3 linked regions of the Anolis sagrei genome follow. The protein of the gene in region 3 interacts with the protein of the main gene of each other region in a biochemical or structural test. Links are inferred from orthologs where the notes say so. Each region holds a gene or a part of one and is shown on either strand. Other genes may lie near its edges.

Region 1 (7,743 bases), about 7.0 Mb from region 3:
TTTTAGTATTTTTACAAATTACCGAGACGTGCAAAATTTATATCTGTATATGACACTGTTGAACTAAATCAGTTCAAACATTAAACATCATTGTGCGGCAACATGTGTCTATTTTGAACTTTTGCCCTTTGGTAAAATATTTTGCTATCTCAATATATGAAATGGCCAAGAGATTGAGCTTGAACTGTATTATATGAGTCTACGCTGACCATAAAATGCAGTTCAAACAGCATTATTTAGCAGTGTAGATCTGGTCCAACTTGAAAGGGGAAATCTTCTGGGAAGGCAGAGGAATGCCTCTCCATCACTTCCACGATACACTGTGGGAGAACCACCTCACACTATCATGGCACTTCACTTTTATTAGCTCTGTACTGGAGCAACATCCATACAACAAGCTCATCTCTCCTAATGCTCTTATTTCATTCTACCTTAAGAAAAACATTGTACACAGGGACTCTATTGCACACTTTAAAACATAATCGTAGCCTCACTCTTAAAAACATTACAGCACGTTCATCATCCCATTCCTTAACTTCGAAACAATGTCCTCTATCAAATATTAGGTGCAATACTCTGCCAACATCCCTCTCCAAATATGTATTAGGGGACACAATCCATAATCTTTGTATTTTATACAATTTAGAAAAAGAAAACTTGCTACATTTTATATATGTGGAGTTTGTTTCCAAAAGGTACCAAATCCATTTTAAAATGAATTTTAAGTGTCAGCACATTGCTGTATATGAGTAAAGATCAAAACTATCAAAATGTTAGTAAATCACTTGGGCTCTGGGCTTGGAAAATTGCATTTAACATCAAAAGAATGCATATCCTCTGCTTTTTTCCTTCAATTTCTATAAATCTTATTCAGATTGACTTACATGTAAACCTGCCTCCTGGTAACAATTCTCCACTATATTTAATGAGCACCCCTAAATTCCAGAATACATTAAAATTTAAAAACTGCCCACATACTATACATAAACACATGTGCATCCACCCCCTTGTAACAATATCAACGTAGTTCATCCCTTATCTGGAATTCTAAAATACTGTACACTAGAATCTAAAGTTGTCCACATGGCTAGCTGAGATAGTGAAATCTTTGCTTTCTGGTGATTCAATACAATAAAACTTTGTTTTGTTTTAAAATAATATAAAATCATCTTCAGCCTCTGAGCACATTTGGGCCCCATCTTCAAGATACAACTCAATGTAAAAGGTGGGCCAAAAATCACAAAGGTGTTTGATGTTTTAGTAACTTTTTGAGAAGACTTTATGTGTAATGTAATGTCCTCTATACAGGCAGACCATGAATTACAAACATCCAACTTACAAACGACTCCTAGTTAAGAACGAGGAAGTGAGAGAAATCTATCTCTATGATGGGAAATTCATTCCTGGAAGAGTTATGGTGGAAAGGTGTCTTCCCTGAACCTTTCTCACCAATCCTTTTATCCACAACAAGCCAAATTTTTCAAAACCCAATGACCAGAGACAGGAAGTGAGGCGAACAAGGGCACAGAAAGCAAAACACCACACAGGGTTGTTGTAGGATTTTTCAGGCTATATGGCCATGTTCTAGAGGCATTCTCTCCTGACGTTTTGCCTGCATCTATGGCAAGCATCCTCAGAGGTAGTAAGGTCTGTTGGAACTAGGAAAAAGAGTTGATATATCTGTGGAATTGCTAGGGTAACAACTACCATGTCAGACTACACAGAGAAGCCATTGAAATCCACAAGCATGTGGATAATTTCAACAGAAAGGAGGAAACCATGAAAATAAACAAAATATGGCTACCAGTATTAAAAAACTCTAAAATTACAACAGCACAACAGAGAGGAAACAAACAAGGACATCTAATTACCTCTCAACAAAAGATTGCCCCAGGCATTGCCAGGCCATCAAATGCTAATCAAGGTGGTCAGTTGAAACATTCACACCTAGCTCCAGCAGACAAGAATTATTTGTCCCACCCTGGTCATTCCCTTGGCAAGGTCAAGATGACAAACATTCGCTCACTTCATATAATTGTTAACTTCTACTTATTATTTCCAGATGACATGTTCCATTGGTACTTAACTTCTTTGATCTCTTAATGATTTATATATTTATCCTAACTCACGAGGCCTCTAGCCTGCTATGTTTAATCTAAAGTCAACATTTACTTTTCCAATTATTTATGGAACAAGCCACTCCGATCTTTTATTGTTCTATTGAATTTCCCTTGCTGTAGAAATCTCTCGTCAGCATTTAAGGTAAGGCTTTTTTCTGTTCATCTTAAATGCATTTTTATAATTATAATTATATTTTCTCCTAATGGCTGCCACAATTCAACTTGAGAATAAACTTATAGAACATATCTTGTTTGTAACTTGGGGGTGGCCTGCATTTATTATTATTATTGCTGTTTATTTCTACCTGCTTTTTCTCGCCACGGGCAAAGAGGGCCGAAGTTTGCCCATGCCTGCTCTACTATATATGATGCTACTGTATTGTAAATGAAAAACAACAAAAGTTAAAGAAGTTATGACACACCGAAACTCCTTTGGGACTTTGGCAAGTACTCCAAAACGCCAAACACTTCAGGCAAGGAATATTCAGCCTGATAAAAACGCCTTTTCCTACACAAAACCACACACACGCCACTTTCTCTTCACACGGGCATCACTTGCAAGCATATTTCTTCCCCTCAGATGTCTTTCCCGTGCAGCTTCTATTGTTGAGCTCCCCACCATCACACATTCACTCAAACACAATACAAAGAAGCACAAACAAAAACAGTTCACACAGGGCTGGAAACCCAGCATACTTCTCATCCGTTTCGTGAACATATTTCCCACCACTCTTTACTGTCTCCTCTCTGAGAAAAGGGTCGCTATATGGCTCCTTTCCCCGCCCCAGAAAAGCTGCCTCAGGAACCCACGCAGGGGGCTCGAGTGTTTCTCCTTCCCGCGTTTTCGCGCCCCTTCCTCCCCCCTTGGGCCCACCCCCAATATGGCCGCCCAGGCCTGAGGTGCCTCAGACGCCCCCTCCCCATCTCTCCTCACTCGGCCTCTTTACCTGAGGAAGCCCCACCAAGGAAGCGCGCGGCGAGCGGCTTCCAAACGACCACCCCAGTCGGCGCCGCCACCACCACGAAGCGGCTGCAGGCCGAGCCGAGAGCGCGCGCGGAGCGGAAACCCCTCGGACTTCAGGAACGGACGGCAAAAGAGAGAGGCCAAGAGAGCGAGCGGCGGTTCGCGCTCGATCCGCCTCCGCCAAACAAAAGAGTCCTTGCAACCCCTCTACCCGCCGAGGCGCACGGCGCATGCGCTAGCCAACTTCCGACACCCCCCTCCCTCTTCTCCCTCCCGCCCTGACACTCGCCACTCGCCCGCGGCATTCTGGGACCGGATGTGATCGCCCACCCCTTTTCCTTCGCCCCATAGATTTTTAATGAAAGACAATCCACCCACAGTTAGAGCGTCTGTTTCCGGGTTTCTTTGGGTCCTTTTCTCAATTATTAAAAACTAGCCATCTCCTGCCACGCGTTGCTGTGGCGTTACTGTGGCCCAGTCTGTGTATATGTGTGGTGTGTGTATATTTCTGTACATGTGTATATATGTGTGTTTTTAAAGTCTCATCTGCTGTGTTTTCCAGTGTTTTTATGGGTGAAACCTGAGAGGTGTTTTGTGTCCAAATTTGGTCTCAATTCGTCCAGTGGTTTTTGAGTTGTGTTCATCCCACAAACTAACATTACACTTTTATTTATATAGGTAAAGGTAAAGGTAGTCCCCTGACATTAAGTCCAGTCATGTCTGACTCTGGGGTGTGGTGCTCATCTCCATTTCTAAGCCGAAGAGCCAGCGTTGTCCGTAGACACCTCCAAGGTCATGTGGCCGGCATGACTGCATGGAGCGCCGTTACCTTCCCGCTGGAGCGGTACCTATTGATCTACTCACATTTGCATGTTTTCGAACAGCTAGGTTGGCACAAGCTAGGGCTGACAGCGGAAGCTCACACCGCTCCGCGGAATCGAACCTGCAACCTTTCGGTCAACAAGCTCAGCAGCTCAGTGCTTTAACCCACTGCGCCACCAGGGGCTCCTTTATTTATATTTGTTGCTGTTGTTCATTCGTTCAGTCGTCTCCGACTCTTCGTGACCTCTAGATTCTATTATTCTATTATTATTATTTTATTATTGTATTACTTATATTATATATTTATTATTATATTATTCTATGTTATTATTATGATATTTCTATGACCCTCTGCGCAAGCTCAGGAACAGTAGCCTAGCTTTTCAGTGCTGGATTTCTAATTATTATTATTATTATTAATGTATTTTTTTGTCTTTTTACGTCCCTTCTGCTGTGTTTTCCAGAATTTTTATGAGTGATGGTCACTCATTGGCCTGGGAGGTGTCTTGTGTCCAAATTTGGTGTCAATTTGCCCAGTGGTTTTTGAGTTCTGTTAATCCCACAAACAAACATTACATTTTTATTTATATAGATGTATTTTCTTTGGGCCCTTCCACACAGCCCTATATCCCAGAATATCAAAGCAGAAAATCCCACATTATCTGAACCCAGTTCAAAGCAGATATTGTGGGATTTTCTGTCTTAATATTCTGAGATATAGGGCTGTGTGGAAGGGCCCTGAATTCATGCTGCCATATATTCCACTTCAAAGCAGATAATGTGGGATTTTATTCAGCTGTGTGGTAGGGCCCTCAAATAAAAATTTATGAGATTGATTGAACTAAGGAGAGTCAAATTTATGCTAAATTTCCATGGTACGCTAAGAGCCCTTCCACGCAGCCCTATATCCCATAATATCAAGGCAGAAAATCCCACATTATCTGAGTGTGGACTCAGATAACCCAGTTCAAAGCAGATATTGTGGGATTTTTTGCTTTGATATTGTGATTTATATGGCTGTGTGGAAGAGCCCTCAGTTATATGAGTCCACAGTGTCATATAATCGAGTTCAAAGCAGATAATATGTGGAAGGCACCTAGGTAAAAATTTATTCTATCCTACTCTATCTCCCCTTTGGGACTCAGGGCGTCTCACAGCATAAAAGGCAAACATTCATTGCCATAAAATAATAATAATAATAATAATAATAATAATAATACTTGCTTTGTACTTCTCAAAGCACAGCAGACAAATAATCAGTACAAGAAAACTGCCCTTAAACCAGAGCTGACGGCACAACAAAGTATTGCATGGGCAATTCCTTGACAAAATTGAAGGAAACATTCACACGGGGAAGACCTGGTTATAGCTCACTAATGGAACACTGAAAAAGGAGACAGAAGTCCTGATTCTTGCAGCCCAGGAGCAAGCCATCAGAACAAATGCAATTAAGACCAGGATTGAAAAATCAGCTGATGTACCAACATGCAGACTGTGCACGGAAGCTGATGAAACCATTGATCATATCCTGAGCTGCTGCAAGAAAATTGCACAGACAGACTACAAATAGAGGCACAACTCTGTGGCCCAAATGATTCATTGGAACTTAGGCCACAAGTACCACTTGCCAGCAGTAAATAATTGGTGCAGGCCCGTAGCCAGGATTTCGTTTCGGGGGGGGGGGGGGGGGGCTAAAAATTTTTCAGGGGGGTTTCGGGGGGGGGGGGCTGAGTTTCGGGGGGGGGGGGACTGAGTCTGAGTGAAAGAGGGTCTAGCCTAGCAAACCTTTTGTATCATTACCCCAATACCCCCATACATATGGGATATATTGAGAATGGTGATCAAATCATGATATTAATAAACATAACAGTTTAAATACTGCACCAGTAAGGCCTTTTCGCGAACCACCATGAGAATTTGGGGGGGGGGGGGGGGCTACATGCCTGAATTGGTGGATCGTAAACCTGCAAAGGTAGTGGAAAATGAACACGCAAAAATACTATGGGACTTTTGAATCCAGACTGACAAAGTGCTGGAACACAATACACCAGACATCACGATTGTGGAAAATAAAAAAAAGTTTATTGATGTCGCCATTCCAGGTGATACCTGAATTCACAAAAAAACAACAGGAGAAAACTCAGCTGTCATCAGGATCTCAAAATCGAATTGCAAAGGCTCTGGCATAAACCAGTACAGGTGGTCCCAGTGGTAATTGGCACACTGGGTGCTGTGCCAAAAGATCTCAGCCTGCATTTGGAAACAATAAACATTGACAAAATCATGATCTATCAACTGCAAAATGCCACCTTACTTGGATCTGCGTGCATCATTCGAAAATACACCACACAGTTCTAGACGCTTTGGAAGTGCTCGACTTGTGATTTTGTGATACGAAATCCAGCATATATATCTCGTTTGCTGTGACATACTGTGTTTTTATGTCAGTAAAATAAAAATAAATACTACAATAAATTAAAAAAACTAATAGACAATACAGCACATTCAACAATAATACAAATCACAAGAGAAACCATAATAACAAATTAAAAACAATATTGATAAAAATTATTATTATTATTACATACATTTCTACCCTGCCCTTCTCCTCCCAAAGGGGGACTCAGGGCAGCCTCATTGTTGCAGCAGACAGCAGCCTGTCTGTTGGGATGCAAATGGGGTGGAAGAATGACACCAGGCTAGAGCAGAGTTCCAAGTTCAAAACTTTTTACTTTTCCATGGAAAAGGGTGGGAAACCTCAGCCCGCAGCTGAAACAAGGGGTTTCCACACACCTTGATTTAAACAGAGCACATATTTATATACAATTGCTTATATAACTTGTTGACATTAATTAATTATTAATGCATAGGAAAACATCTTAATCATCTGGAAAGTCAGCGTGTTCGGGTCATATCTCCTGTGACCTTGTGCTGGTCAGCAGATCTGACATATACAGGCAGTTCAAACAGGGAAAAATCAATATATATTTTATACAATATATATATCAATATATACCTCACTACCGCTGAGGATGCTTGCCATAGATGCAGGCAAAACGTCAGGAGAGAATGCCTCTAGAACATGGCCATATAGCCTGAAAATACCTACAACAACCCAATATATACTTTTCTGTTGACTTTTGTACCAAAAAGGAAAAATCAATATATATATATTTAAAACTGCCCCCACATCACATAAGCATCGTGTGATGCTGTCAACATATAAGCAACAAGGGTTACAATGAAAACAGTAAAAAATCATTAAAACATGTTATACAGGTACATTACCAAGTTCATTAAACAAAAAGCTAAGATGCCAGTTAAAACCAAGACCAAGTTGGGTAAATCCAGTCGCATATGTCCTAACTTTCCTTCCAATTGTCGCTATCCACTGGACGAACGCCTGGTCCCAAAGCCAAGTCTTCAATTGTCTTCTAAAGGACAGGAGGGAGGTGGCCATCCTGATGTGCTTAGGGAGGGAATTCCACAGACGGGGGGGGGGGGGGCATTGCTGAGAAGGCCCTGTCCCTCATCCCCACCAAACCGTGTTTGTGAGAGCGGTGGGATTGAGAGCAGGGCCTCCTCTGACGATCTTAAGCTTCGTGATGGTTCATAAAAGGAGATACAGGGTTAAAAGCCATGCCCGTATTACATTCCTATTTCATAAGGCCGGATCTTTAACCATTTCAATCTCCATAAGCCTGGGCACATAGGAAGGTTTTTATTTGGTTTGTACAGTAAAGGAGGACAGCGATGGGGCCATTCTAATTTCCTTCTGGAGGGAGTTTCAGGGGCTGGAGCAACTGCAGAGAAGGTTCTTTCTTGCCTTTTCCCCAT
Region 2 (7,813 bases), on a different chromosome or scaffold from region 3:
TTTATTGGCCAATTAATATTTTAAGAACTATCTTAATGATTGTGGGTGTGTCTATATAATTTATGCATTATGTTTTCATATAAAATGTAAGGTAATAGGTTAGGTTATTATTTATTTTTTGTTCAATTTTTATTGTAGCTGTTGTTTCTTTTTGATATTTCATTAGTTTGGTTTGTTGTGAGTTTTCCAGGCTGTATGGCCATATTCCAGAAGCATTCTCTCCTGATGTTTCGCCTCCATCTATGGCAGGCATCCTCAGAGGTTATGAGGTCTTTAATTAATTTGGTTTTGAATTTTCATTTATGAATGTGTTTGTCATTGAATGTTTGCTATCTTTTGTTAGAATCCTCCCTGAGTCCCCTCGGGGAGAGGGCGGAATACAGGTAAAGTTTTAATGTATTGTTGAAAACTTTCATGGCTGGAATCACTAGGTTGTGGTGAGTTTTCTGGGCTGTATGGCCATGTTCCAGAAGCATTATCTCCTGACATTTCATCTACATCTATGGAAGGCATCCTCAGAGTTGTGAGACCTCACAACAACCCAAATAAAGTTTTATTATATTGTTGTTGTTTTTCCATCTCAACTAAGTTTAGTGTATTCATTTGTTTCCTTAGTAGGTCCAATTGGTATTGGATCTTTTTGTCCTGAGGATTTATTTTAGCCTGTGTTAACATTTTTTATAATTTCTTCTTCTGTTTTGTAGTATTGTTTTCTTTTCCTGTTTTCTCTTATACCTTGCTCTATGAGTTGCCCTCTCATGTAGGCCTTACTGGCATCTCATATTATTTCTATTGGTGTATCTTTTTCTGTATTTAATTTAAAGTATTCCATTAATAATCCGCCCTGGATTAAATGGTCGTTTAACCTACATTTTCTTACTCTGTCTTTTTCTTCTATATTTTCTATTACTATTTCTATGGGAGCATGGTCTGACTTTAAGATGGAGAGTATTTTAGTTTTGGTTACTTTTGTTATTATTGTTGACACTGTGTATCAAGGGGGCAAAGCTAGGTTGGTTTCCCGTGCATGTCCTGCCATAGATGCAGGCGAAACATCAGGAGAGAATGCTTCTGGAACATGACCATACAGCCCGGAAAACTCACAACCACCCAAATAAAGTTTATTATATTATTATTGTTGTTGTTGACACCGAGGATCAAGGGGGCAAAGCTAGGTTCGTTTCCCTGAACACTTTGCCTCATTTTTACAGGTATTACTTCCTGGTCCCAACAACACAAAAAATACTTTCGCACTTCTGGGCAGTTAGTTCCTTTTGGCAGCTCTGGAAGGAGTAGAGATTATCACTCTTTGCGTGTTTAACAAATGGAATAATTGGTGCAGTTATTACAACAAGCAGGGGCCAACTTGGGCCTTCTGTCCAGATGTTTTGGACTTCACCTCCCACCATTCTTAACAGCCTCGGGCCCCCTCGAGCTTAAGCGGCTGAGGGGGAAAAGGAAAGGGCCCGAGGCTGTTAGGAATGGTGGGAGGTGAAGTCCAAAACACCTGGACAGAAGGCCCAAGTTGGCCCCTGCCTGGTCTTGTGCCTTCTCTGCCCAAAAGTGCTGTTGCCTCGCCAAACTATAACTCCCACGATTCCATAGCATTGAGCCAGGACAGCTGAAGTGAGTTCAAATGAACTGAATTCAGGAGACTTGCTGCCCGCTCCCACCATCCTCTCCCACCTTGGAAGCAACCCAGAGAGGATCCATCACAAGCGAGGCCTCTCTTTTCCATGGGGGGCTCCTGGCTCGAGGCGTGAACTTTTGATCTCCCCCCGTTTCCAAGTGTCCCAGCATCCGGTTTGCTCACGCTGGAGTAACTTCTCGGTCAGCATCTGAGCCTGAGCAACTATGGACCTCCGCCTCAAGAGCTTGGCCTCCGCTCCCCTTCTGCCGGAAACGGGCGCGACTTTTTTCTATTGCCGGGCTTTTGCCGCGCGCACCGGGGACCTGAAGAGAGAAGCCTCCCACAAGGATGGGGAGACATCCGGGCGCCCCCTGGGCAACGACAATTCTCTCACACCAGAAGCGACTTGCAGTTTCTCAAGTCGCTCCTGACACAGAAAAAAAGATTGCTTTAAAGTGACTTCCAACGGACTTGTTGGAAGAAATAGGTGCCCAGTTCACTCCGTTGCAGCGCCTTCCCCTTCGGGTGCATCTACACTGCAGGATGAATACGGTTTGGCACCACTTTACCCGCCCGTGGCTCAATGCTATGGAATCCTGCGAGCTGTCGTTGGATGAGGCGCCAGCCCTCCTTGGCACACAACCCTCCTCCTGATTGCATAGCATGGAGCCATGGGATCAAGCCGCATTCATTCCACCGTGTAGATGCATGCATGCTAAAGAAATCCTTGCAGAGCTCGAAGGGAACTCTTGTTTGTTACCCGTGCAGAGGAGAAACTTGCACCGAAGTGAAGCCAAATGCCACAAGGAAATAAATAAATAAATAAATAAATAATAATAATGTATATATATTATATATTATATTATGTATAATATATAATAAAGTATATATTTTATATTATATATTATATAATATATAATATAACACAGAATAGAATAGAATATATAATATATATAATACAATATAATATAATATAATATAATATACATCATATATATAGGTTCGAATCCGGGGAGTGGGGTGAGGTCCCGCTGTTAGCCCCAGCTTCTGCCAACCTAGCAGTTCGAAAACATGCCAATGTGAGCAGATCAATAAGCACCGCTCCGGCGGGAAGGTAACGGCGCTCCGTGCAATCATGCCGGCCACATGACCTTGGAGGTGTCTATGGACAACGCCGGCTCTTCGGCTTAGAAATGGAGATGAGCACCAACCCACAGAGTCGGACACGCCTGGACTTAATGCCAGGCGAAAACCTTAATATAATCATCATCATAAATAATAAAAGTGTGATCCAACACAACAACTATCATAGTTATCTTGTTTGCTGCGTACTAATCTTGTTGTATATCAAATAGTAATAAAATTATCATTGTTATTATTGTTGTTATTATTTTATCCCTGAAAGGAGACTCAAATCCAAATCAGAGTGCAAAGGAGTTCCTCGGACCCACCTTCTTCGCTTCTGTCGCGGATGGGCTGCACTGGCTTGCTTTCCTCCTCGCTGCAGAACAGAACCGGAGCGATGCCTGTGGCTGCACCTGATCTCTAGGCTCCTCTTTCTTTCTTTCTCCGTCCGGGTCTGGCACCTTCTGCCCGCGCTGGACCCAGGGCGGTGTGGTATATCTCCCGCAGGTCCCTGGGAATCCCCAGCCGAGGGAGCCGTGCGTGGCGTCCAATCAGCGCCGCCGAGGGGAAGGGCTGCGCCAATCAGCGCCCGGCAGGGAGTCCGCTTCGAGCGCCGCATCATTTCGGGGAAATCAGCCTGTTGTAGCACCAGAGACCGAAGGGGAAGTCCGGCTTCCCTGGCCCCGCCCCTCGGCCCGCGGCCCTGGAGCCTCGTTGGCTGGCTACTCCCGGCTGGGAGGGAGAGCCAGGGAGGGCGCATCTACACTGCAGAATGAATCCAGTTGGACACCGCTTGCACTGCCATGGCTCAGTACTTTACAGTCGTGGGAGTTGCAGTTTTGGGGAGGCAGCAGTACTTCTTGGCAGATGGGGTTCAAGTCCCCCATTACTCCATAGCAATGAAAAGGGCGCTAAACTGCATTCATTCTACAGTGCAGATGGGCTGGGACTTGGGACATCCAGTTCTAACCCATACTTACTACTTCATCGCACTAGAGAATGAACCCACTTTAAATCTGGTTGCTGCCTCCTGCAGAATTTTGGGGTTTGTAGTTTAGGGAGGAGCCTTTAACAGCCTCACTTTGGGCGCCTGTCTTCTAGGCAGCATCTACGCTGCAGAATGAATGCAGTTAGACACCACTTTAACTACCATGGCTCAATGCTATGAAATTCTAGGAGGTGTCGTTTTGCAAAGTTTTGAGCCCTCTCTTCCAAAGAGTGCTGGTGTCCTATCAAAAAAACTACAAGGAGAATCCGGTGGCGCAAAACCCTTGCGCCAGCAAGACTGCTTGACCGAAAGGCGGTTCAAATCCAGGGAGCAGGGTGAGCTCCTATCTGCCAGCTCCAGCTTCCCATGCAGGGACAAGAGAGAAGCCTTCCACAAGGAAGGTAAAACATCTGGGCGTCCCCTGGGCAACATCCTTGCAGATGGCCAATTCTCTTACACCAGAAGCGACTTGCAGTTTCTCAAGTTGCTCATCACACCCAAAAAAAACCAAACTACAGATATTATTCCACAGCCATGGCAATTTTCTATGCCATCGTTGGTAATAGGACTTACGCATCCAGAGATTTTGCAATCCATGGAGGTCCTGGAACCAAATCCCAGAACATAGGAAGGGCCCACTGTACACGCACACACAAGCATTAGGACAAATGTTTCTGGGAGCACACTGTCAGTTCTTCCAGCTCTGAAATAGCCCTTGGAATCTGCTCATGTCAGTCCACCATGCACAGGAAAAAGAAATCAGATCTCAGCAGAGATGTCTTTTGGCAGCTCCTGAGGATAGCTTTGTACAAACTTCCTGTATGCATCACAGACATTGAAACATTATTTCCCATACCTTAGTTCAGATGTGAACCAAAACAGAATCAGAAGAAGACTGAGGGCCCTTCCAGGCAGGCCCTGTATCCCAGGATCTGATCCCAGGTTTTCTGCTTTAAACTGAATTATATGAGTCTCCACTGCCAAATAATCTGGGATAAACAGAAAACGTGGGATCAGATCCTGGGATATAGGGCCTGCCTGGAAGGGCCCTGGGACCTTGACAGGCAATCATGAAGGAACTCAAGGAGGTCCTTAAGTGTAAAGATATGCGTATCAGTAAATCCCAAAGGTCAGGATCATCCAGGCCACAAACCCAATTACTATGCATATGCAAGAAAGTTGAGAAAGTTAACGCGGGGGGGGGGGGGGGGGAATTGACTTATTTGAAATGTGGTGCTGGGGAAGAGCTGTATGGATACCATGACTACTCAAAGGACAAGTGAAGGGGTCTTGGAGCAAATCATGCCTGAACAAGAAGTGAAAATTACTAAATCAAGGCTGCTATACTTTGGCCATGAGACAATATGACTCATAGAAAAGGCAATAATCTTTGATAAAGTCAAAAACAGTAGGAAAAGAGAGAAACTGCAGCACAAGTAGATCAATTTAGTCAAGGAAGACATTAACCTGAGTAAAGAATTGTTGATGACAGATTTGGAACTCTCTCTCTTCATAGGGTCTCTGTTAGTCCAAGTTAACTAGACAGCTAATAACAACAACAACAACAACCCCCCATTGGGTGCCACCTTGTCGTTGGCAGGGGGCTTAACTGCATCTATGATGCTGAGAGCTGTGCTGGTGGTAGTGTAAACTACCAGGTTCAACCAAGCCAATGTGGTCTTAAATGAACTAAGTGCACCCAACTCATTTAAATATGGTGAAACAAACTCTAAAGAAATCTATACTGGCTCAGTCATCGTCCAGGATAATAAGGACTGCGATGAGTGCTTCTCCTGGGCACCTGTTGACAAGTGGACTACAGGAACCAGGACCCACTGCTAAGCAACCTGGGCATGGGCTTGTAGAGAAACTGGAAGCAAAACAACTACAGAACTGGCAGAAATTTTATCAAACTGCAAAGACTTTGGCACAAGCCAGTAAAGGTGGTCCCAGTGGTGATTGGCGCACTGGGTGCAGTACCTAAAGACATTGGCCTGCACTTAAACACAATCGGCACTGACAAAAATTAGCATTTATCATCTGCAAAAGGCCACCCTACTCAGATCTGCACGCATTATTTGCTGATACATCACATAGTACTAGACACTTGGGAAGTGTCCGACGAGTGATCCAATCCAACAGCCAGCATAGTGACCTTGTTTGCTGTGTACTAATCTTGTTGTGTTTCTAATAATTAATAATAATAATAATAATAATAATAATAATAATTTATTTATATTCTACCCTATCTCCCCTAGAGAACTCAGGGTGGATTACAGTACACATATATGGCAAACATTCAATGGCATTATACAGTTAACAAAGACAGACAGTACACAAACAGAGGTGAAAGCTTCCCATCATTTTTGATCTCTGGCACTTGGAGGCTGTGCTCAACTCTGGCTATGGGGGTGGGGCAATATGCTGTCAGTCCATCTTCCATGCTGAGGAGCTTTGTTGCCTTTACACACTCTCCCAATTGAATTGTCGGCATGTCTACATGGGTGCCTTTTATTACCTCCCCACCAAAGTGGTACCTGTTTATCTACTCACATTACTGTTTTCAAACTGCTAGGTGAACAGAAGCTGGGCTGACAGTTGGTAGCTCACCCCAACCTGGGCTTGAACTGTTGATCTTTTGATCAGCAAGATTTTCTTGCAGCTGGTGGTTTAAGCTGCTGTGCTAAAGCCCAGCCTAATAACACCAACACATTTGGGACAGTGCTTCTCATGGTATCTGAAGTGGGGGAAAAATAGGGATTTCCCCCTTCTTAAGTGCCAGGGACTGGCACCGTAATTGTGCCCATTAGCTTCAACTGCTTCTTGCTTTCCTGGAAACTCTCCATGGCCGATGGTTTGCAGACTGGCACTGGTCCATAGACCACCACTTTGACCAGTCCTGCTTTGGTGACAACAGCAAACAGCAGAAGCAGCACAGGGGATGCTCTTCTAGATATTTGCCACATGGCAAGGCTGTAACAGTTAATCGTGTGAACCTTAACACTATGATAGCAGCTTGATATCATGACTGGGTAATGACAAGGAGCCGTGTGCTTTGGCTCTGTCCATGTGGTGGTGGACCTCAAATATGACAGTGGAGGTGCAGAAAGGAGGACTGTGGCACACAAGTTGCCCCCCAATTCCCTTGCTGCAAATCCTTTGTGTGCACCATTCCTCAAGGCATCTCCCTCACATGTTGAGGAGGAAAGTGCAGAGCTGTGGGCCACGCAGCAAATGAACATGCAGGTTCCTTTAAAGGCATGCAATTCTGCTTCTTTTGTGTCTGCGGGACTTCAGAGCTGGGTGTGACTATTATCTCAGAGACAGGAAGTCCTTGGTTACAATCTCATCACAAGTCAAGGTTAAGTCACCACTGCCTCAGCCACTCTGCACCTGCTCTGAGTAGGAGACCATGTGCTTTCCCTTGCAAAGATGGCAGTGCATTTCCAGGAATCTCCAAGTTGGTCTGGTAAAGCTTCCTGTCTCATTCCTCAGAAGACTGCTCTCACTCAGAAAAGACAATATTAAAGGGTGTTTGCACTGCACACTTACATCAGTGTGATACCATATTAATTGTCATGGCTGTCTTCAAAGGAATTGTGCAGTTTGTTGAGATACTTGAAAGGTATCATGGTACTCCGAGATGAAAGGGACTGAAGAAGAAATCACTTTGAACCCATAGCGTTGATAGGAACATGGTATTTTGGGAACTGGGATGGGAACTACACTGCCATATAATGCAGTTTAGAAGTGCATTGTACGGTCAGTGTAGATCAGTGATTCTCAACCTGTGGGTCCCCAGATATTTTGACCTTCAACTCTCAGAAAACCTAACAGCTGATAAACTGGCTGGGATTTTTAGGAGTTGTAGGCCAAAACACCTGGGGACCCACAGGTTGAGAACCACTGGTATAGACCCATATAACCCATATAATGCAGCTCAACTGGTTTGAACTGCACTATATGGGTCTGCTACACTGATCATATAATACACTTTCAAACTGCATTATATGGTTGTGTAGATACAGCCTGTGATTCAGGTGTACAAACTGAAAATCTCACCAAATTCC
Region 3 (8,348 bases):
AGCAAGGGGTTCTTTCTCTTTCAAGACAAGAAAGATATAATAGTAGTAATATTCTCAAGTTTCTTTCACAAAACGAAAAGAGTTCTCTTTCAAGAAAGCGAGGTATAAATCCAAAAAATAATTCTCTTTCACAAAACAGGAAGGGTGTCCTCTTTCAAGACAAGATATAATAATAATAATAGTAATAGTAATCTCAAGTTTCTTTCACAAAACAAGAAGTGTTCTCTTTCAAGAAAGCGATGTATAAATATAATTATCCCTCGTTTTCATGAAAGAAAAGGAAACTTCTCATTTTGTGAAAGAAAACCTGAGAAAATGATGATGATTATATTTATACCTCATTTTCTTCTCTTGAAAGAGAAGGAAAGCCTTCCCATTTTGTGAAAGAAGCCTGTACTACTAGTACTATTCCTCACTTGCTTCTCTTGAAAGAGAAGGAAAGCCTTCTCTCTTTGTCAAGGGAACTTGAGAATATTATTATTATTATTATTATTATTATGCCCCGCTTTCTTCTCTTGAAAGAGAAGGAAACTCGAGATTATATTATTACCATTATTACTATATATGCCTAAATTGCTTCTCTTGAAAGAGAAGGATACTCTTCTTGTTTTGTGAAAGAAACCTGAGAATAATTGTATTATATTTATAACTCTCTTTCTTCTCTTGAAAGAAAAGGAATCTTCTCATTTTGTGAAAGAAACTGGAGAATTATATTATTATACATTTATACCTTGATTTATTCTTTTGAAAGAGAAGGAAACTCATAGTTTTGTGAAAGAAACTTGAGAAAATTATATTAGTGGTATTATTAATTATATATTTATACTTCGCTGGCTTCGCTTGAGGAAACCCTTCATTTTTTGTGAAAGAAACCTGAGAAATATATAAAAACAATAGCAATATAATTCTCTTAGGTTAATTTCATAAAGCGAGAAGGGTTTCCTTCTCTTTCAAGGGACGAAAACGAGGTATAATAATAATAATATGCTTCTTTCACAAAACGAAAATGTGGAATGATATTACAACATTATCTTAAGTTTCTTTCAAAGTGAGGAGGGTTTCCTTCTCTTTCAAGAAAAGAAAATGAGGTATAAATATATAATAATAATAATAATAATTCTCTAAGGTTTATTCCCCAAAACGAGAAGGGTTTCCTTCTCTTTCAAGAGATGAAAGTGAGGAATAATAATAATAATAATAATAATGGCTTCTTTCAAAAAATGAGGCTTCTCTTTTTCAAGAGAAGAAAACGTGGTATAATAATAATATAACAACAACAACAACATTCTCTTAGGTTTCTTTCAAAGTGAGGAGGATTTCCTTCTCTTTCAAGAAAAGAAAATGAGGTATAAATATATAATAATATAATTCTCTAAGGTTTATTCCCCAAAACGAGAAGGGTTTCCCTTCTCTTTCAAGAGACAAAAGTGAGATATAATAATAATAATCATAATAATCATAATAAAAATAATTTAATAAAAATTATTTGCTAAATAATAATAATCATAATAATAATAGAGGCTTCTTTCACAAAACGAGGCTTCTCTATCAAAAGAAAACGTGGAATAATAACAACATTCTCATAGGTTTCTTTCAAAGTGAGGAGTGTTTCCTTTCAAGAAATATGAGGTATAAATAGATAATAATATAATTCTCTAAGGTTTATTCCACAAAACAAGAATTTCCTTCTCTTTCAAGAGAAGATATAATAATTATATTTATATCCGCCTCTTTCATAAAACGAGAAGGCTTTTCTTCTCTTCCAAGAGGTAGAACTATAATAATACAATTATTTCTCAGATTTCTTTTACGAAGCGAGAAGGGTGCCTTTCTCTTTCAAGAAAGCAAGGTATAAATATAATTAGCAATAGTAATTCCTTGGGTTTATTCCTCTCACCAAGAAGATAGAATAATATAAAGGGTGTCTTTCTCTTTCAAGAAAGCAAGGTATAAATATAATTAGCAATAGTAATTCCTTGGGTTTATTTCTTTTACAAAACGAGAAGGGTGCCTTTCTCTTTCAAGAAAGCAAGGTATAAATATAATCAGCAATAGTAAATCCTTGGGTTTATTCCCATCACCAATAAGATAGAATAATATTAAGGCTTGTCTTTCTCTTTCAAGAAAGCAAGGTATAAATATAATTATAGTAATTCCTCTGTTTATTTCTCTCGCCAAGATGATAGAATAATTCTCTCCTTAGGCCTAATTCCCTCACTAATGGAGGGGCTTTCCCTCCTTGAGTATCTTAGGCCCCTCCTTCCACAGGGCTGTATAAAATCCACATTTGAGCTGGATTATGTGGCAGTGTGGACTCAAGATAACTTAGCTCAAAGCAGATATTGTGGAAGGAGGGGATAATGGTTTGATATATGGTTATATGGCTGTGTGGAAGGGCCTGGGGGCAACTTGGGCCTTGCAGGTGCTTTGGACTTCAACTCCCACCATTCCTCACAGCCTCAGGCCGCTTCTTTTTCCCCCTCAGCCTGAGGGGGAAAAAGAAGCGGCCTGAGGCTGTGAGGAATGGTGGGAGTTGAAGTCCAAAGCACCTGCAAGGCCCAAATTGGCCCATAGATAAGAAAGAGGGCGGTGACTAGGAGGACACCTGCAGCTCACCTTGCCCTTCCTTGTTGTTTCCTCCGCCGGCGGGCTCGACTTTGACGCACTCCTTGCAGACGCTGTGGAGGCAGGGCAGGAGCCTTGGGTCCCGCTCGGAGCGGAGTTTCTCCCTGCAGACGGCGCACTTCTCCAGTAGGTCGAGGCCTTCCACGTTGAGCGGGGCGCCCGCGGCGGCGGAGGAGGAGGCAGAGGCCGAGGCGGCGGAGGAAGAGGCGGCGGAGGAGCGCGGCTGCTTCTCCCCAGTGGCGGGTCCTCCTCCGCCACCGCCTCCAGTCTCCGCCGGAGCAGGGGCCGTGGCAGAGGCCGACATGATCAAGGGGTGGCTGCGGCTGCTGCGAAAGGAAAGGCGGAGGGTGATAAGGGCCTTCCGGGCGGCCTGTCTTCTCTAGGAATGGGATTGGAATGGAAGGTCGGCCCGCTACTCTAGGCCTCGTTTCTCCACCACCACCGCCGCCGCCTCCTCTCTTTCTCTCGCTCTCCTGCAGCCCCGCCCACTCGCCGCAATGAATGGCGGGTACATCGAGCCCAGGCAACGTTCGGTCGTTCTAAAGGCGGGACTTTCCTTCCCTTAACCAATCAGTGTCTCTCAAAACAATGAAGGATGGGTTTGGCATCCATTGGCCGTCGGGAAATGAGATAAATGGTCCAATCAAATCCCTCTTCGCTCCGGCACGGGTCCAATTGGAACAAAGCGGGACTAGGGGAAAAAAAATGTCAAGCCGCTCTTTGAAGGCAGGATGTAAGGAGGAAAAAAAAGGGGGGGGGGGGGGGTTAAGAGATTGTAACCATAGCAACCAGTCTGTGGAGGAGTTGGGCCAAAAGGAGACAGCAAAGGCCATGGATAAAGCAAAGTAAAGGTGTCCCTGGATGAGATGGACCAATTCCTCTCTTTTGTTGTATCCTCCATGTTGGAAGATCAGAGGAGCTTTCCTCCAAGCATTATTAAATGGCCGGTGCATAGGCTGGATCTGCTCACTGCTATATAAAATCCGCATGGTCTGCTTTGAAGTGGATTATATGGCTGTGTAGACTCAGGTAATCCAGTTCAAAGCAGATTATTTGATTTGATAATCTGGATTATATGGCAGTATTATTTATTTATTTACGAGATTTATATGCCGCCCTTCTCACCCCGAAGGGGGCTCAGAACGGCTTACAAGTAATATGTAAATACAATATTATTATTATTATTTTTGTCGTGTCAGGAGCAAGTCGCTTCTGGTGTGAGAGAATTGGCCGTCTGCAAGGACGTTGCCCAGGGGACGCCTGGATGATTTGATGTTTTTATCATCCTTGTGAGAGGCTTCTCTCATGTCATAGAATCATAGAATCAAAGAGTTGGAAGAGACCTCATGGGCCATCCAGTCCAACCCCCTGCCAAGAAGCAGGAATATTGCATTCAAATCACCCCTGACAGATGGCCATCCAGCCTCTGCTTAAAAGCTTCCAAAGAAGGAGCCTCCACCACACTCCGGGGCAGAGAGTTCCACTGCTGAACAGCTCTCACAGTCAGGAAGTTCTTCCTCATGTTCAGATGGAATCTCCTCTCTTGTAGTTTGAAGCCATTGTTCCGCGTCCTAGTCTGCAAGGAAGCAGAAAACAAGCTTGCTCCCTCCTCTCTGTGGCTTCCTCTCACATATTTATACATGGCTATCATATCTCCTCTCAGCCTTCTCTTCTTCAGGCTAAACATGCCCAGTTCCCTAAGCCGCTCCTCGTAGGGCTTGTTCTCCAGACCTTTGATCATTTTAGTCGCCCTCCTCTGGACACATTCCAGCTTGTCAATATCTCTCTTGAATTGTGGTGCCCAGAATTGGACACAATATTCCAGGTGTGGTCTAACCAAAGCGGTTAGACCTCATGTCCCCACATGAGGAGCTGGAGCTGATAGAGGGAGCTCATCCGCCTCTCCCCGGATTCGAACCTGCGACCTGTTGGTCTTCAGTCCTGCCAGCACAGGGGTTTAACCCACTGCGCCACCGGGGGCTCCGCATAATTAATAATAACAACAATAAGCTGGCACCAAGTCTGGCCAGAGCAAAGACAGAAGGGAGCAGAAGACACTTCCATCTTGTCTTTACTAATAATATAATATAGTATAGTATATATACATATAATATTTATAATATTATAATGTAATACAATATAACACTAGTAATAATAATTCAATATTATAATTATAATATATTTACATTACATGTAATATTACTAATAATATTACAATATAATGGTATAGTGCAATGTAGTAATATATACTGATATTGTACTATGCTAATAATATAATATATTGTATGAAAATATATATTGTAAGCCGCTCTGAGTCCCCTTCGGGGTGAGAAGGGCGGCATATAAATGCCGTAAATAAATAAATAAATAAGCTTTATTTATACCCCGCCACCATCTCCCCAAAGGGAGTTTTTGAGTTTTCTGGGCTGTATGGCCAAGTTCCAGAAACATTCTTTCCTGATGTTTCACCCACATCTATGGCAGGCATCCTCAGAGGTTTCGAGGTCTGTTGGAAACAAGACAAGTGACGTTTATATATCTGTGGAATGTCCAGGGTGGGAGAAACAACCCTTGTCTGCTTGAGGCAAGTGTGAATGTTGCAAATCGCCACCTTGATTAGCATTTAATGGTATTGCTGCTTTGAAGCCTGGCTTGTGCTGCCTTGCATCGGCTCTTCTAAACTGGGTTCTATGGGTCAATGGATATCTGCTAAAATACAGTAAAACAGTTTAAACCAACCACAGACATCTTAAACCTTTGTCCATTCTTCCAAAATGTTCCCAAGACCTCTGAGCTTTCAAGTCTTTCATACAAGAGAGTGAACAATGTGAACATCAGGAGGAGCTGACTTCCAAAATTAAAATCCTGCAAAACAAAATGAACAGAGGCATGAGCCAACAGCTGAGTTCTTAATGTCTGGTGTCAAATTAGCACAAAGCTGTAGAAAGGGTATGAAGAGAGTAAAATGGCAGGAGCTGCAAAGGCAAGCATTTCACCCAGCACTTGGTGAAAAGGGAGAGAGAGAGATTGATTGATTGCACACCTGGGGAAAACAATGCCGTTAACAACATTGTTTTATTTCAAATGTGGAATGTGAAGAGAGGAACTCCACCCCCAGTTTTCAAGTTTCAAATGTTTCCCATTGCTGGCTATTCTTCTTCACCTCCTTCCAATCTGAAATGGTATGCAAATAATAACCTCAGTTGAAAATTGGGAATGGTTCCCATGATGAGTCTATTTTGATTTTTTTTCTTTCGCCAATCAGGATTCTATTCTATTGTCTGTACTGTCTTGTCTTGTTTGAAAAGGAAGTGGATTTGAGAGTCTACCATCCCTATTTCACAGATATAAACTGGGATGTGTGTGACTGAACATCTGAGTGTGACCAAAAAAGTGTGACCAAGCAAAGCGAAGGCAAGAATTATTAATGAGAAAGAACATGTACACCTCTTATTTTAAACAGAGGAATCCTGAATTTTATGTACTGGGTTTAGCAAAGCCTTATAACAGGGAAAGAAAAATGCTGACCAATAAATGCAATACTCATTGTGCACATGCATGCACACATGCAGTAGGAGTACAGCTGCAGTGGGGACAAAATGAAGACTGTTCCCATAAATATTCTGCCCACCCCCAGAAATATTTCTTCAATCCCTATATTCCTAGTATTGCAAGAATGTGACACTGAAAATAATACTTACCTAGAACTCTATGTTTGTGTACTGCCATTCTCTTAGTAATTTTGCCTGCCTTTTCCTTTTGATATCTAAACTGTATTTCTAAATGATCAACTGTGGTTTTATGTTACTGCAAGGCTAGAAATTTGGGGACTGGAGGAAAATTTGAGGGGAAGAATTCTAATGTGGGGAATGCCATCATTTGACAAATTGTCCTCCTTTCCTCTAAGGCAGTGTTTCCCAACCTGGGGGTCAGGGCCCCTTGAAGGGTTGCAAGGGGGTTTCAGAGGGGTCGCCAACGACCATCAGAAAACATATATTTCTGATGGTCTTAGGAACCTCTTTGTAGAAAAGGCTGAAGATCTCTCTGCCTGTCCTTCTCTTCCTTTTTGGAAAAAGACATGGAATCATCCCACCAAAAGCCCTCCTCTGCCAGCCTCTCAGCCGACCTCTCAATCAAGGGGAGGGTTGTTTCTGAGACTCCAAGTGGGAGGGGAGAGAAGGTGTGCTCTGCGAATAGCAGGTGTGCTCGGCACATGGTGCGCATATGTGGATGAGGGAAAGCATGTGAGGGCTAATCCTGAGACTCCAAATGGAGAGGCGAGAGTAGGTGTGCTTGACACATGGCAGTTTGGTGCGCATGTGTGGGCGAGGGAGAGCGTGTGAGGTTACAGGGAGGTTCGCACTAGCGAGTCCCTTCAAGACATGGGAGTTTTGTGTGTGAAGTTTGGCCCAATTCTATTATTGGTGGAGTTCAGAATGCTCTTTGATTGTTGGTGAATTGTAAATCCTAGTATCGGGTATTTGTGCCAAATTTGGTCCAGTGGATGAAAATACATCCTGCATATCAGATACTTACATTGTGATTCATAACCGGGTCTGTGGCGCAGCTGTCCGAGTGTCAGCTGCATTAAGATCACTTCTGACCACAAGGTCATGAGTTCGAAGCCAGCCCGGGTCGGAGTGAGCTTCCGACCAATTGTGTAGCTTGTTGTCAACCTTTGCAACCCGAAAGACAGTTGCATCTGTCAAGTAGGAAAATTAGGTACCACCTATGTGTGAGGAGGCTAATTTAACAAAATTTACGAGGCTATAAAAAAGACTCCAGCAAAGCACTCCAGCAAAAGCATGCGGGGAATGCGGAAGTACTTCATCAGTGTCGCAGATGGACGATGAAAGCAACAGCTCCCCTGGCAGCCAGAAAAAGTTAAAGCCTCTGTCTGTTTGTCTATATCTGTTGTGTGTCTTTGGCATTGAATGTTTGCCATATATGTGTACATTGTAATCCACCCTGAGTCCCCTGCGGGGTGAGAAGGGCGGAATATAAATACGGTAAACAAATTAAATAAATAAATAACACTAGCAAAATTACAGTTATGAAGTAGCAACTAAAATAATTTTATGGTTGGCAGTCACTGCAACATGAAGAACTATATCAAGGGGTTCCGGCATTAGGTAGGTTGAGAAACACTGCTCTAAGCGCCACAGATCCTGGACTTCCCAGTATGTTCAAGCAAAAGTAACCCGCTGCAGCTTCTCTTATCAATTCTTATCTTGACCACAGTCTAATGTTGCTTGATCATATCTATCCTGGTGTTCATCTGTGAAACATTGAAAGAAAAAAGATTTCTGCTTTGAGTAACAAAGCCCATTTCTTTCCAGGAGACAAATCCAATGTTGGCTTGTTTGTTTCCAACAGAAATTAGTTGTATCCTGCAATCTCTTCATCAACATTTTAAGGCAGATGATAGCAACAGCTTAATAAGGAGAAAACCAACCATAAAACTTATGTAAACATCAGATTTAAAAGAAATGCATAAAACCACTGCAAACGTCAGATTAAAAAGAAAGGCGGAAAGTGATTATAATAAAGATTCCCAGTCAAAGCAGCTGCTTTGTTCCTGGCTTTTAGGAAATGTGAACTTTTTTGGACTGCACAGGGTGGGGAAAAGTTTACAAGGCAAAGGATCCAGATAGAAGCCTTAAAGCAGCACCACTTGTGTTGGTCTCACAGTCTGACAAAGGTAGGGTTGTGATTTATGTGTG

The links.
Region 1: the proteins of TRIM28 (region 3) and CBX1 form a complex in vitro, tested with the Homo sapiens proteins (3 studies listed by BioGRID). The link is inferred for Anolis sagrei from reciprocal best matches to the Homo sapiens genes TRIM28 and CBX1.
Region 2: the proteins of TRIM28 (region 3) and IRF1 form a complex in vitro, tested with the Homo sapiens proteins (2 studies listed by BioGRID). The link is inferred for Anolis sagrei from reciprocal best matches to the Homo sapiens genes TRIM28 and IRF1.

Annotation. Positions count from the first base shown.
Region 1 is NC_090026.1:33,851,864-33,859,606, reverse strand, and holds the start of CBX1 (chromobox protein homolog 1), read right to left. Parts: upstream 3,336-7,743; 5' UTR 3,068-3,335; intron 1-3,067. UniProt on the Homo sapiens protein: Component of heterochromatin. Recognizes and binds histone H3 tails methylated at 'Lys-9', leading to epigenetic repression. Interaction with lamin B receptor (LBR) can contribute to the association of the heterochromatin with the inner nuclear membrane.
Region 2 is NC_090022.1:94,713,045-94,720,857, forward strand, and holds the start of IRF1 (interferon regulatory factor 1), read right to left. Parts: upstream 3,336-7,813; 5' UTR 3,082-3,335; intron 1-3,081. UniProt on the Homo sapiens protein: Transcriptional regulator which displays a remarkable functional diversity in the regulation of cellular responses.
Region 3 is NC_090026.1:26,897,600-26,905,947, forward strand, and holds the start of TRIM28 (transcription intermediary factor 1-beta), read right to left. Parts: upstream 3,134-8,348; 5' UTR 2,930-3,133; coding exon 2,617-2,929; intron 1-2,616. UniProt on the Homo sapiens protein: Nuclear corepressor for KRAB domain-containing zinc finger proteins (KRAB-ZFPs).